Tribolium castaneum: one gene and its partners. The main gene of each other region encodes a partner of the protein of the gene in region 2 in a complex. Links are inferred from orthologs where the notes say so. Each region holds a gene or a part of one and is shown on either strand. Other genes may lie near its edges. The genes, in order: B9 domain-containing protein 2, transmembrane protein 231, B9 domain-containing protein 1 and transmembrane protein 17.

What was found.
Region 1: transmembrane protein 231 (region 2) and B9 domain-containing protein 2 share a complex: the UniProt entries of both Homo sapiens proteins name them as parts of the tectonic-like complex. The link is inferred for Tribolium castaneum from reciprocal best matches to the Homo sapiens genes TMEM231 and B9D2.
Region 3: transmembrane protein 231 (region 2) and B9 domain-containing protein 1 share a complex: the UniProt entries of both Homo sapiens proteins name them as parts of the tectonic-like complex. The link is inferred for Tribolium castaneum from reciprocal best matches to the Homo sapiens genes TMEM231 and B9D1.
Region 4: transmembrane protein 231 (region 2) and transmembrane protein 17 share a complex: the UniProt entries of both Homo sapiens proteins name them as parts of the tectonic-like complex. The link is inferred for Tribolium castaneum from reciprocal best matches to the Homo sapiens genes TMEM231 and TMEM17.

What each region holds. Positions count from the first base shown.
Region 1 is NC_087394.1:33,824,957-33,829,278, forward strand, and holds the start of B9 domain-containing protein 2, read left to right. Parts: upstream 1-1,408; 5' UTR 1,409-1,647; coding exon 1,648-1,735; intron 1,736-1,883; coding exon 1,884-2,009; intron 2,010-2,062; coding exon 2,063-2,345; intron 2,346-2,391; coding exon 2,392-2,425; 3' UTR 2,426-2,750; intron 2,751-2,801; 3' UTR 2,802-3,032; intron 3,033-3,086; 3' UTR 3,087-3,240; intron 3,241-3,293; 3' UTR 3,294-3,493; intron 3,494-3,541; 3' UTR 3,542-4,322. Other genes in the region: serine/threonine-protein kinase VRK1, read right to left, coding at 45-515, 564-858. UniProt on the Homo sapiens protein: Component of the tectonic-like complex, a complex localized at the transition zone of primary cilia and acting as a barrier that prevents diffusion of transmembrane proteins between the cilia and plasma membranes.
Region 2 is NC_087398.1:6,906,644-6,910,109, reverse strand, and holds transmembrane protein 231, read left to right. Parts: upstream 1-1,561; 5' UTR 1,562-1,644; coding exon 1,645-1,792; intron 1,793-1,842; coding exon 1,843-2,012; intron 2,013-2,062; coding exon 2,063-2,191; intron 2,192-2,243; coding exon 2,244-2,469; intron 2,470-2,516; coding exon 2,517-2,776; 3' UTR 2,777-2,808; downstream 2,809-3,466. Other genes in the region: mitochondrial import inner membrane translocase subunit Tim21, read right to left, coding at 2,809-2,913. UniProt on the Homo sapiens protein: Transmembrane component of the tectonic-like complex, a complex localized at the transition zone of primary cilia and acting as a barrier that prevents diffusion of transmembrane proteins between the cilia and plasma membranes.
Region 3 is NC_087399.1:9,020,607-9,023,608, reverse strand, and holds B9 domain-containing protein 1, read left to right. Parts: upstream 1-1,472; 5' UTR 1,473-1,628; coding exon 1,629-1,866; intron 1,867-1,912; coding exon 1,913-2,122; intron 2,123-2,172; coding exon 2,173-2,273; 3' UTR 2,274-2,315; downstream 2,316-3,002. UniProt on the Homo sapiens protein: Component of the tectonic-like complex, a complex localized at the transition zone of primary cilia and acting as a barrier that prevents diffusion of transmembrane proteins between the cilia and plasma membranes.
Region 4 is NC_087395.1:14,181,569-14,184,609, reverse strand, and holds transmembrane protein 17, read right to left. Parts: upstream 1,357-3,041; 5' UTR 1,305-1,356; coding exon 1,223-1,304; intron 1,179-1,222; coding exon 1,075-1,178; intron 1,025-1,074; coding exon 911-1,024; intron 800-910; coding exon 527-799; 3' UTR 520-526; downstream 1-519. Other genes in the region: glycolipid transfer protein, read left to right, coding at 1-33, 78-228, 279-461; ankyrin repeat domain-containing protein 27, read left to right, coding at 1,727-1,749, 1,934-2,128, 2,182-2,347, 2,395-2,524, 2,584-2,734, 2,783-3,014. UniProt on the Homo sapiens protein: Transmembrane component of the tectonic-like complex, a complex localized at the transition zone of primary cilia and acting as a barrier that prevents diffusion of transmembrane proteins between the cilia and plasma membranes.

The DNA of each region.
Region 1 (4,322 bases), on a different chromosome or scaffold from region 2:
TAAAATGATTAGTTTAATGATTAACACACATTACGACCAATTACCACAATTAGTGAAGATTTGATTAAAATTTGGTATGTCGTCGAGATAAAAGGCGACTTTAGCGTTCGGCCTTAAGTTTCTAGTGATTCTGGTTGGTTTTTTGCGACATGCACGGAGACGGCTGGTGAAAGTGTAGCCGCTTGATACTCGTGTGCAGCCGCTTGACACTCGTTTACAGACGGTTGGTTTGGGCTTATTTTGGTTACTTAGAAGAATATTAGATGCCTTGATATCGGAGTGCATGTAGCCTTTACTATGGATGTATTCCAAAACATCAATTATTTGGAGGGATATTGTGAGCACTGTTTTAAGGTTTAGGATTTTCTTCTCTTGGAGGACTTTTTCCAAGTCTCTGTCAAATTTCGGGAGGATTAAGAAACGATACTTTTCACCCTTGTGGACGTGGGAACCTGACGCCACATAGTGGGGCATTCCGAGGGAACTTATATTCTTTGCTCGCTTCCACTCTTCAACTAGAAACGATTCCAATTATGCGATTTTTCCGCAAATTATTGACTTACTCATTTCGCGTTTAGCAATCCTTAGGTAACAATTGACTTCGACAAAAAGCGGCCCGTTTTTATGGCTTTCCACCTTAGCCACGTACTGACAATCAGTCTTGACCTCTTTGGTGAGGACATCAGAGGCCAGGTAGATCTCCCCAAAGCCCCCAACACCCACAGGTTTCCCCAATTTCCACTGCTTCCCTGTGATGTCTTTTAGGTACTCCCCATGTCTTAAATCAAAGGAGTTGCTGCAAGTCTTCTTTTTGGGGGGATCATTCTCCGAAGAACTGTTGTTAGCACGTCTCGGCATTATTTTAACGAAAGTGTGAAGTCTATAAACAATCTACAACATGGAGGCTTGAGATTTTCGCTCGGTTTCACTTGAGATACCTTACCCTGCCTAATTCATGTGATTACCCAAACAGAGGACCCTTCAAGAAGAAACGTTTTTTTTATGTAAATAACAACAAGATTTCAAAATCAAACGACATTTCCCCAATAACCTTATCATTTACATAACGACAACAGCAAGGTCAAGTGGCACGTCCCGGTTGTAAACAATAAGAAACAATACTTACTTTTCATACAACAAGTTAGAAAAGTGGTAAAAACTGTTATTTTGCCAAAAATCAAAAGGTGAAAGAAACGTCACTGACAATTTTCACGGCCATCTTCACGTTTCGCTCAATTGAAACGCCTCCTGATTTGTCGATAGCGCGCACGCGCACTGCAATTTCTCACTGCTTTTGCGCACAAGTCATTAAATAAAAAACGGGTTTTTGCGAAAAGAAAATTAAATTTGGGAAAAAGACTACCAACAGCCTTGTTGGCAACTGATGAATCACTCATTTTGTTGTCTATAACAACAATAATTGCAAAGAATCCAATTTGTTGTATCAAGTCATGGGAGGCTTATTTTTTATTCCTACACAAAACTGACCCCCGCCCTTAAAATATTTGAAAATCGTTGCTAGGCAACCGGAAAACAGTATTGTAAACAAAAATATTGTTTTTATGTTTGGCATTTTCTTCAGGTGGTTCTTTTATTTCAGTTTTGTTTGTTGTGAAAACAGTTATCATTTGATGGTATTCTGGCCTTATGGCAGAAGTGCACATAATTGGGCAAATAACTGAAGCCAAAGATTTTCCAAAGCAGAATTTGTTCTGTAAATGGTATCTCCAAGTAGGTGAGGTTCTCTTGACTTCTTTTCTTGATTTTTGTATCAAACAGACGCTTATTTTGCCTTTTCGATAAGTATTTCTATCGTTTTAAGACTAAAATCGACTGCTCTGTCAGTCAGTTCATGTTTATTTTTATTATTATAAAATTTTAAGGTAATAACTGGAAAGTTATTTCTGGGAAGAAGGAAGGTCAAACTCAAGTAACATCACCTCAGTTTGGTAAAGTTTGCAAGTGGTCTTATCCAATAGATATTCACCTAGCCACTGCTGGACTTCAAGGTTTATAATTTTTCAAAAAAGTCGTTTATTTTTTTAATGAGTCCGAATTTTAGGTTGGCCTAAGATTTATTTGCAAGTTTATCACTTAGATTGGCTAGGCCGGAGTCACATTTTCGGTTACGGTTTCATAACAGTTCCTACAACTCCCGGGACCCATATTTTGGACTGCTACACTTGGAGACCATTTGGTACAATAAAAGATCGTTTTGTGCAGTATTTTCTGGGAGGTGGGTATCAAATAAAAAATCCAGACTTGATCTTCTCTTCGGGGGAACGTTATAAACTCTCTACGGAGGCTATGGGAGTTGTTTCATTTGAACTGTGTGTTGTACTTAGGTAATAATAAGGCACAAAACAGTAATAATGACGAGTCCTTGTTCAGAAATTTCAGCAATTATGGAGTGGAATATGAGTAAACTACTTAACAATTTACCGACTGTTTTAATACTGTGCGTTTTGTTAAAAAGCACAAGTTTAGAAAATGTGACCACAACCCAGTCAAGTGAAACAAATGTTAAAAAGGGCACAACGTCACCAATTGTGTCCACAACCGCTGTTCCAACAACTACTTGCAAAGCCAACAGTTCTTGTTTTGCAAATTCAACTAATAATTCAGTAACTGTTCCTCCAACTCAACAAACAACGGCTTTAGTCACAACCCCGACTCCCGCGAGCTTTTTTCATTTTCATATAAAAACATCGGAACGATCAAGCAAGAATTTGTGTATTTGTGATTTAACTGTAAGTATCTATATGTTCCCTAATAAATTATATTTTTACGCATGATTTTAGATCGACTACTGTGATCTGAATTGCTGTTGCGACAAAGACTGTTCCTTAGAAAATAAACTTGTGTTTGATCATTGTGAAGAAGATTTCCGTCAATATGATACTAGATATTGCCAATACGTAAAACATATTTACGTTAATAAGACACCTCATGAGTTTCAAATTAACCAAAACGGACTATTTTGTATTGTGCGTAGTAATTTACCAGCAAGTTACATAGTCCAAAGAAAGCAAGTAAGATAAAGTCTTAAAAAAATCATAAAAATAATTTTACAACTTTAATTCCAGCCGTTGAAGTCATTACAAGATGCTCAATTCGAGAGACAAAATAAATTTAATTGGCCAAAGCCTACACATGAAGATAGTCAAATATTCAATTATTTCAACTATACTTATGGAAAACCTTTATTGATTTTAAGAAATAACACAATTGAAAACTTACGTTAGTCTCCAAATCTTAAATCAATAATCTAAATAACCATTTTTCAATCGTAGAATTTCTTAAGAGTTTTGTGGTAACTAGTTGCGTGGTCAAAGAAGATATAAAATATTTAATTGACGTCAAGAGCAGCTGTAGTCATACGAACATATCCGCAGATAATTATTATCTAAAAGCCGACACATTTTTCAGAAACATGACAATAATTGCAAATCCTGGTTTGCTAAATGTGTCTAAACACAAAAATTTTCTCAAGGTAGGTACTATACTTTTATGGAAACCAAACAGACTTATTCCTTTCCAGAATTGTACAAAAGATGTTTGTCTAAATGTTCGGCCAAAAATATGCAACGAAGACTTTGAAGACTGCGTCCAAATATCGCCAAACGACACGAGAATAAAATCGAGCTGCAAAGTTAACATTGCAAACAACGAACTGTTTTGTATTAATTTAGTACAAAACGTTAGATACAATTTTTATCATAATGGTAGCAACGGTTTGATAAAAGTCGAACTTTACTTGATTCTGAAAAGTGCCACTTTTTATTACCACCAGGAAATGGAGTTTTCCCAAACGATTGAAGTTAATTTTATTTGGTGGAACCATACTTTGAACTATTCATCGCACCTTAGTGGAAATCCGGGATATTTAGTTGGCAAGCCAATCTTAATCGCAAATATCGTTTCTATAAATGTTCCTATAAATAATACGAACTCGACTAGCAATGCAACAAGTTACAAACAACAATTACAGCTATACCGAAATCCTTCGGATTTTACCGAAAATTTCCTCGTTTTGCCGTTTGTAAATTCAGAGGGTGTGTGCGTTCTAAGTAAACACAAATATACTCCGATTGAGTTCGGTTATAATATGTATCTAAGATGCGAAATTAATGATTATATTTGGATCAAAAATCTCTCGGCGAAAAATGTATGCATTGCCGTACAGAACACAGTATTCAAATACTGGGCCTTAAAAGTAACAAATGGTACATTAAGTAATAGAGTGATTGCACTGTTCGGTAACGCATACATTTACAATATTGGCGATTGGCTGAGACCAATGTTTGAAAACGATCTTAATG
Region 2 (3,466 bases):
AAAAGCCTGTGAATATCCAGTTAGTTGCACTTTACACCAATGAAATACGAATAATACTGATGTTTCTTAAGACGGGAGATTCTATTTATGCGTGACTGCATTAGCAAAACCCTCCCGGCAGAATATGTCAGATGAAAAGCAATAAACAATTATTTTGAAGAAAAAAAAACATTTTAAATTCAAATTTGTATGATTTAATTATTTTTTGGACGCTTTTAGAATAAGAAAAACGTTGTAATCTATACTCGAAAAGCTTAAAATAACTGTTTTGTAATAAATAATAATTATTAAAATTGACCTTTTCAATTGCTTTACTATACTCGTAGTTCAAATTTCATTTATTTTGTTATGGTTTCTTAGACAGATTTGAATCAATTTAACCATTATTAAGTATATAAAGGTTATCTTAATTTTTTTTAACGATAAAAATATGTTTTAAGTCACATCAGAGCAACTGTTGTATTCAACTAATTAGAAGTTCTAAGAATTATAAAAATTTTGATAAATTGTATTAGTCTGCGCTAATTAAATGTCGTAACTAATTCCACTATAATTTTAATAAATTAAACTAGATATAGTATTTATTAATCATGTAGTATTAAATTATTGCCATCTTTTTTTATTTAAATACATTTCCAAATAAAGAATATAAATTGTTAAAGTATTTTATAAATGGTGAAAAATTGTGACCTAGTTTTACGATTAATATCTACCGAATAATTAATTTTCTTGGAAAACCAAGTATTACACATTTTTTCTTCTTCAAGTGTATTTAACTGGAAAAACCAAATAACGCAAGAATTAAGTATGTCATTGCCAATATATAGATATCGTTACTCATCAAGTCATCATTCATCAACCACCAATTTGCCCGGTATCTTTTGATGAAATCTGAAGAATTAAATTAAAAAATAGTAGAAGAAAATGTTTTCTCGAGCAAATTTGCGGATTTTTGAACTAAAAATATTTGCGTTTTACGTGAATTATTGCAATTATATAGTTTGTAATGTTGGTTTAGTTAAAAAATTTGTGTTAAAATATCTGCAAAACACGGTCAGTACCTGGGGCCTCGTGGCCCAGTGGTATAAGCACCACTTACAACGGGGGAGGTCGGGGGTTCGAACCCGGATCAGGTGTAACAATTTTTCTATGAAAAAAAGTGTAGAAAAGGTAAGGAAACAACACGTAAACAAAAATAAGAGATTGAGAGAACACATAGGCGTATAAAAGTAAAGCGGAGCTTAAAACTGAGAGAAATAAAAAAATAATGCGGCAAAAATGTAAAAGAACGTAAAGGCGCCAAATTGTAAACGTACTTTTTGTTTTGAGAGAAAAAGAAATGAACGTAAAGGTTACTTTTATTTGTTTATAACATAAACTGCAGAGGAAATCGATGTACAAAATTAAGGAAATTACACGTTTTAAAGAAAACAGAGAAAATTAAACAAAATCAGGATTTTTTTAATATTCTCATAATGGCCGTTTTTTTTGTTTCCGTTACCTTTTTTGGCAGTTCGGTCATTGCCCTAGCATTTTCAAATTACCCACACAGTCGTCGTCATGACAACCTAATTGTTTGTATTCAAAGTTGACAGGTAAACAAATAAAAAATTCGACCAAAAACCACAAGACGTAATTTTTGTGATGTTAATGATGGTAGTTTTAGAAGTTTTTACAAAGAATATAAAAATTTCTTATAAAAGTACTCTTCTATCAAAAGCATCGGTGCTAGCCCTAATTTTTGGGGTCTTATCGCTTGTGTTACCATTTATTTTTGCATACAAAAGCAAGGGTAAGAAATTAATTTTAATAAATTAGATAGTTCTGATAGCAAATTTTCAGGCTTGTGGTTAAAAAGAGACACTTTTTATGAACAACCGGATGTAAAATTTCGAGGAGAATACATTTTTGTTGCTACTACGAATAATTACAATAAGTCTGTTATAACGTGTAGTAATTTACCCCACTTTGATAATGTATTGCGGCCTTTAGATACTTGTTCAGTCATCAAGGTTTTTTTTTTCAGTTTTGTAACTATTAATTTACATATTGTGCCTTTTAGGTTCGTGAAACTGACAGAAATTTTGATGGTAAAACAGAAGAATTAGATTTGTCTCTCCAAGTTAATCTTCCAGTTAATACTCACCTCACGTCTTTTTGCATAATCATTCCATTTAATTATAAATTACAAGTAAGAAATTCGAATGTGTTCTTTTTTCTATATTTCTGTTTTTTTCCAATAGGTTTGTCCTCTTGAAATGCAGACTGCCATTATTTTTCAAGAATTGTTACCATTTTATATATCGAAGTATTCATTGGTGGCTAATGTGGTTGTGACCCAAACTAGCCCCTTAATTTGCCACAGAAAAAACACCAATACGTTATTTAATTATCCTGTGATTGTGGATAATGGGGATTTAAATAACTATGACATAAATACCATTATCACAAACTTTTCAAAGAGAAACAGTATAAGTTAAAGAATCTACAAAGCAATAACTAACATATTTTTTCAGTATCCACATCATTGAGAGACGTCTATAAAAGTTTTTCTCCTGGAAAAACTCAAAATTTCGTATTAAACTTAAATATAGAATTTCCAGAAGACAGGATATACTACAAGCCGGGCTTTTGGCAAGTACTGAAGTGGGCCTGGATCCAGTACCTCTCACTTTACATAATAATCTCATGGATAATTGCAAAAATAAAGCACTATATTTTTAGCAGGAGATTAATACTGTTTTTTGAAGAAAATCCGGTGAAGAAAAAACAATAAAAATTTAACAAACTTTATTATCATCGTTTTATTTACAACGTCAAGTCTAGTGGCTCTGAAGACGAACTAGAAGACGAAACTGCGTTCCTGTTGTCTTCCAGAACAATTGCTGTTTGTAGGAGATCGTCCACTTGAACCAGGGTGGTGAAACCTAAATGCACCAAGCCAAGTATAGGCGCCAAATTCAAAATCGACTGTAGTTCGGCTTGCTATCGCAGATGTCGCACACACGTATAGTCAATTTTAGCGAAGCTACCTATAATATCGGCAGAAATTAACAGTGGACCTGTGACAGTTGCCATTGTGTAAATCGCCATTTTGTGCTTGGTTTGTTTGGTGTTCGCCCTCGGCTTTGTTTTATGTGAAATTAGTACTGTTTTGTGGTTTTTTTCGTGTGTGTGCTTTTTTGAACTTTTTTATTGTGGGAATATAAATAATTTGATGGATCAATCATTAGTTTATAGTTATCGTATCGTGTATATTGACTAGTGATAATAAATTTTTATTACAAGTTTATTGTCTTTATTTATTCTCATATTTTATTTTTCGTATTCTTTGTAAATATTCAGCAACAATAGTTGTCTAACATCAGAAAGTGTTATTAGCAACTATTGTTGTGAATATTTACAAACAATACGAAAAATGCAATCAAACTTTAAAAGAAAAGTAACTACGGGCAATTCAAATCGC
Region 3 (3,002 bases), on a different chromosome or scaffold from region 2:
GTCCGATTTACACTAGAGAGCAGACGTAATAAAATAACACTAGTTAAATCTTATTTTTCCTGTTTAACTCTATAGTGTTTAATTGCATTTTCCCTGTTTTATTTTTACATTTAAAAATTGTTGACATAACTTCAAACCTGACTTTTACGACACAGGGTGTTCCAAACTGAAAAACAAACCACTCTTCATGGTTAAAAAACACATTTACTTAAAATAATTTTTGAAAAAACGTGACAAAATAAAATATTTTAATGATAGAAGTCACAGCTAGAGGGCGTGTTGAGTTGTTGTCAGTGGTTGTGGTTTTTGAGGCGGGTGCGTCGATTGTGGCTGCAGTGACATTTTCCCGCACATGATACCAACCAAATGGGAACAAAACTTATTCTGAAAGCACACTAAATTTGCTCATGCGTTCCGTGTCAGGATAGTCGGTTTAGTGATACTGCCATTTCGGTGGTGCTAAGTACAATGTCACAATAAGTCAGTTTAATGTTAGAACAAATTTACGTAATTAAAAATATTTTACATATTAATGTGAAACTTATGTAATGGTAAAATAGCTGTCTAAATTTAGATTTTTCTAGGGATAATAATTTTTACCAAAACAGCTTCGATTGTACACAGTTTTTATAATCAAACAGCTGTTTTTACAAGCCGGACGTGAGGTGATGGGTGGCTTTGAGGCACTCGTCGCTTCGTTCGTGTTTCAATTTTTTGTACATTATTATTATATTCATCGTATTGATAAAGGAATAACTGCCAAAGATTCATGATTTGATGCTTGGAATAAGACTGGAAGTTCGAATGCATGTCTCATTTAATATTTCATGTAACTTTACGATAAATGTCAATGTATCTTTATCAAAAAACTTATTTTTAAGTTACGGTTTTTCACGTACATCGACACAGGCCTTGCCTTCTTTCGACTTCTCTTCTAAGTTACGCTTCATTATTTTGTACATTACCGCATCCACATGTAAAAATTGTACCGCATTATTTATTTTTACTGTCTAGAATTATTTTACGTTATGAACTGTATCTATAGTGAAGTTATGTAAGTAAATATCCATTTTCAGAACTTGTGTTTTATTTTACATTAAAAATCCCACCAGATGGCGCTTAAAACTTACTTATTACATTCAAATACCTCCCTGCGTCCCTGATACTTTTGATAATTTTGACTATTTTTGGTAAAATTTGGAAAGTATTAGGAGTGGTATTAGGATCACAGGAACACGAAGAGGTGTCCGGCTTTAAGAGGTATAAAATTTTGCTAAAATTTGGAGTTGTCAGGTGTTTCAAACATTCCGAGTTAAAAATTCTGGCAAATTTTGAAATTTCTCTTGGTACCAGGATCACAGAAACGCAAAAAGTAATTCAAATTTTATACTACAAAAATTCCACCTGATGGCGCTCCAAACCTTACAGGTTTCTGTAATTTTGTGGTTCGAAATTTCTAAAGACCTCTTTGCGTTCCTGTTATCCTGGTCCTAGTAATATTTTCAAAATTTAGCATTTATTTACTGCTTCGAGTTAGAAAACATTTGCCAAAACCCAATTTTCCATTTTCTTTGATGATATAGATGACATAAGTTACCATAGCAACCACAATACAAACAGCCCCCACGATGTCCGACGGCACCTTTCTGGTGTCTTTAACGGGCCAGATTGAGTCTGTCGACATTTTAGCCCCCTCGGGCTCCGCGTGGCACTGCAAGTACGAGTTTGTGACAGGCCCGGACTGGAAAATAATCGGGGGGCTCGAGGCCGGCGTGTCCCAAACCTCCAACGTTGTCGTGAACGGAGCTTTAGTAGTGTTCAACCTTCCGATTGAGATTAATTTCAAATCGACGAATCTTTACGGATGTGAGTTCGAAATTTTGCATTTTGAGGCGTTCAATTGTGGTTGCAGGGCCCCAAATTGTGGTTAGTGTGTACCGGGGGGTGCAGCTGGAGGGGTACGGGCGGGCGCACATGCCGCTGAGGCCGGGGATGCACCGGGTGGACGTGGCTTTGGGGAAGCCCCAAGCCAGCTCGTTGTTGGGGTACATGGGGGCGTTTTTCGGGTACCAGCCCGAGTTGTTGCAACCGAAAATGTTGGCAACTACTGCCGGAAATCACTGTATGTTTGTCACAACACGCAAAGATTTCTAGTTCTAGTTTTGGTTTCAGTAATTCAGATGTTGAGTCATGGAGAAGTGAGGATTTCGGTGAATGTCGTAATGCAAGGTGTGAGGAGTCTTGGATATGATTTCGGGAGAGGAAAAGACTAATTTTTGTAACGATTTGGGTCAATAAATATTTTTTTACGCACAGCTTACTTGATTAATGAAGGAATGGTTTATAATTTAATTTAATATAAATATTCGGTTTCAATTGGTTTTCTGTCATCAAGCGATCAAATTAATTTATAATCGAGTTATCCATGAACTTGAATTCCTATGTCATGCGATTGTAATGCTTACATAAGGTGACCAACTATAGAACACCAAAAATATAATTATGTTTTTCAAAAAGTTGGCCGAGATACTAAGTTTATTTTTTATATTAATAAACAGCAAAACAAAAGAAAAAAAATTACAATTCAAATAAACTAAAACGACATTAAGTCAACAAAAGAATGCTTCAATATTTTTTTTATTAACATTATTATTGTATCCAACGTCGCATGTATATTTTTCTATTCTTTATCTACCTTTCTCTTTCACTTGTCTTTTTTAACCTTTATTTCCTTCTTCCTTTTGTTTTTTTACTGATTTAATCAATTTTCTACCTCCTGTCTTGTATAGTCTGCTATTTTTTAATTATATCAGTTTTCTGTACCTCTTTTTCAGTTTAGCTTGTCCTTTCTCTCTTTTATATTATCTTTATTTTCTATATTCTGTTTTCTGTTCTTTACGACATCCAATAAGCATTGGTAAGTATATTTCTTTCTTTATCCACCTTGTATATTCTCTATCATTTTTCTTTTCTTAACTTCTATTTTCTTTCTTCTTTAACCG
Region 4 (3,041 bases), on a different chromosome or scaffold from region 2:
GCTTGTTGTGGACGCTTTGCAGTGGCTGCGGCGGTAAAAAGCCCCTTTTTGGGAGACTTATGCATAAATCGTTTCAGAGCCCTTCATTTCATTTCGCGCTTCTTCCAGTCTGTGATCGATGACTCCGACAATAATAATAACACGCAGGATTTGTCCATATTTGTGAAAAACGCGTACAAGGAGACTCTGGAGCGGTACCACGGCTGGTTGGGGTCTCAGTTGTTTAATGTACTTTCGTCATTTTTTCAAAAATTGTGGCTTATCCCAACAAGTTGTAGATTTTGTCACGGTTTACCCCAAACCGGCAACAGCTTTTCTACCAACTCGCGCTCGAGAAGCACCACAAGGAGGACCACGTTTTGCGTGATATGAGACAGTTCACGCTCAGGATGTCCTCATGTGTTCAGAAGCTGGTGGATTTCTACCAAGAGCATGATCTCGAGACGAATGATAGGGTCTAGTTGTTGTACTTAGAAATTTTATATTTGTTGATCTTCCAGTTGTAAATAAAACGTTTGGTATAGATTCATTTTTTATTCACTCGGTAGCGTTCTTGTACATCTGCAAGCGTCACATCTGATCTTAATTTCATAATGCGAAAGTAAATTGCTTGTTGCGCTGCCGTAAATTTCAAAGCACAATAGCTTGACACCAACTGAATGCATAACATCACGAACATGATACTTTGCACTATTATTTCTATAACATGCAATTTGAAGTTAGGATTGAATAACAGAAGACCTTGTAGAGGAAACTGGAGCAGTAAGGACAACATCCAAAAGCCCGCCAGTTCAGGAATCTACAATCTTATTTATTTAAATCGTCCGCAAAGTGGCCGTGATATTCAACAAACTGTGCACATGTGTAATATTGGTTGCATCTGCCGACTCAATTATTATCATTAACTTACTTTATCCTCAAGATTTCCCTTGTACCCTAAATAGAGTCTTAACATTTCCAAAAGGAAAACTGTCGAAATGACCGTTATGATAATAAACTTGTACAGTTCGCTAAAGCAGAGATACTGGAATTGGTATTTCGAGTCATTTAGTAGTTTTTCGTAGTTAGTCTTACTGTATTCCTTAAATAAAGCACAAGAATGGCCATCCAAAATGGCGCGAAAATCACGTTGAAATAGAGCGACATCTGCAGCGGCAAATTTGACATAACTTCGTTACCTAAAAAGCCTTAAGGAATCGTAATTAACCAGGCATGTTTTTACCATAAACAACATTATCGATTTTACGCGAAAGGCCTGGAAACACTTTATCAGACACTGACGTCACAGTTTCCTTCCAATCCATAATGAATATTTTGAGCAAACAACAAGGTCAAGATTATTTTTAATGTTCTGATTGTTAACAGATTGTTGGACATTTATGTCCTGAAATTGATAATCTGGTTTTGTTTGTATTAACTTGGGGTTGAGTTGCTTGGAAACCGTAATCAAATCCCCCACATTTGCTGGTATTGACCACTGCAGGTGTTTATTTTTGCATTTTTTTTAACTTTATTCTTTCTGTCCGATTGATGTTATTCTCATAAGTTTTAAGCTAACAAAAAAATGATCACAGATATGTATCGGAGGAAAATCTTCAAACAATAACAAGTGGTTATCCGAAAAGTTATCAGATAAAATGTTATTACGTAAGCAACGAAGGTCGTTCATTATTGTTGAGTACACATACCTAAAACAATGTGATACAAGCTACCAGAAATAATAAATATGGAAATACGAGACTTAAAACAGTGAGTATTTTTAATTTTAGCACCACTTACCTTTCGTATTTATTACCTTTAATCTTTTTTGAATTGTTTCATTTATTAGCTACTAGTTTACAATTTAAACAAAGTTTTATATTATCACAAATAAAAAATAGCATGGTCATTGTTGAGTCACTGGACTGAAAACTTATTGCTAAAATAATTTTAGAGCTGAAGAACTGCTTGTGAAATCAACACACGAAAACATTTTTGACTACATTGATGAAGAAATAGTTTCGTGGGATTTACCCAACCATGGGGATTATCCAGATCTGGTACCAAAAATAACTGACTTGGTTTACAAATTATACACAGAAATATTCCCGGAACAAAACAATCCCAGGAACTTTGCGGCCTTCCAGTGGTAATAATTTATAGGCAATTTGTTGTACTTGTTCTTTCATTGGTGATTTCAAGGATTATTTTTGATAAAATCCACGATTTGGTCGTGCCATGCATTAAAGCGAATTTGTTCCGAGAAGATGAAAATTTCTTCGAACGGTGCTCATTTTTGTGCAAAATTAACGTCTCGGCAAGGGAATTTGGCGCTGATGATAATTATAGTATCCCGTTATGTGCTGCCGTAATTGAAAATATTTTTTTAACTGATGCGTGTAATGTTTTTTTTAGGTTGTGGAATTGTCGGTTATAGACAAATATAAAAGTCCCAACGAGAAAATGAACTGTTTGTGCAGTACGTACGATTTAGTATTTGCGGAAATAAAGACAGCGATGGTTTCAGTAATTTCAGAAAGGTCAGGTAAGTTGCATCTTGATTTATTGTATGTACTAGGTTTTTTTAATTGTTAATAATTACAGATAAGGAAATTGAAATTCCCATTATTGACAACAAGGACATAATGCCTGTGCTTATGGTGGTAATTCTTAGGTCGAAATTACGCTACATGTTGAGCAATTTATTTTATATTAAAACTTTTTATTTAAAGATAGAAGAAAATCGAGAAATTTTGTAAGTGTTAGGCGTCTTTTTTATGAACTAAATTGACTGATATTTTAGTGATATATTTAAATCGTTTGAAACTGCTGTTGATAGATTAATGCAGTTGGATGTTGATATTATGAAGCCTATGAAAGGACTTTTTCAAAACAGTTTAGATTTGGAGGAATACATGAAAATTACGTCCAGCCCTGGAGAAGAAAAAATAGAAAAGGCAACTTTAATCGATGAAGCAAATCAACGAGTTTTGAATTTAATAACACGGTCTACAGGCGAAGATCAACTTTTTTAATGAAATAAAACGAACGATATTGTTTAA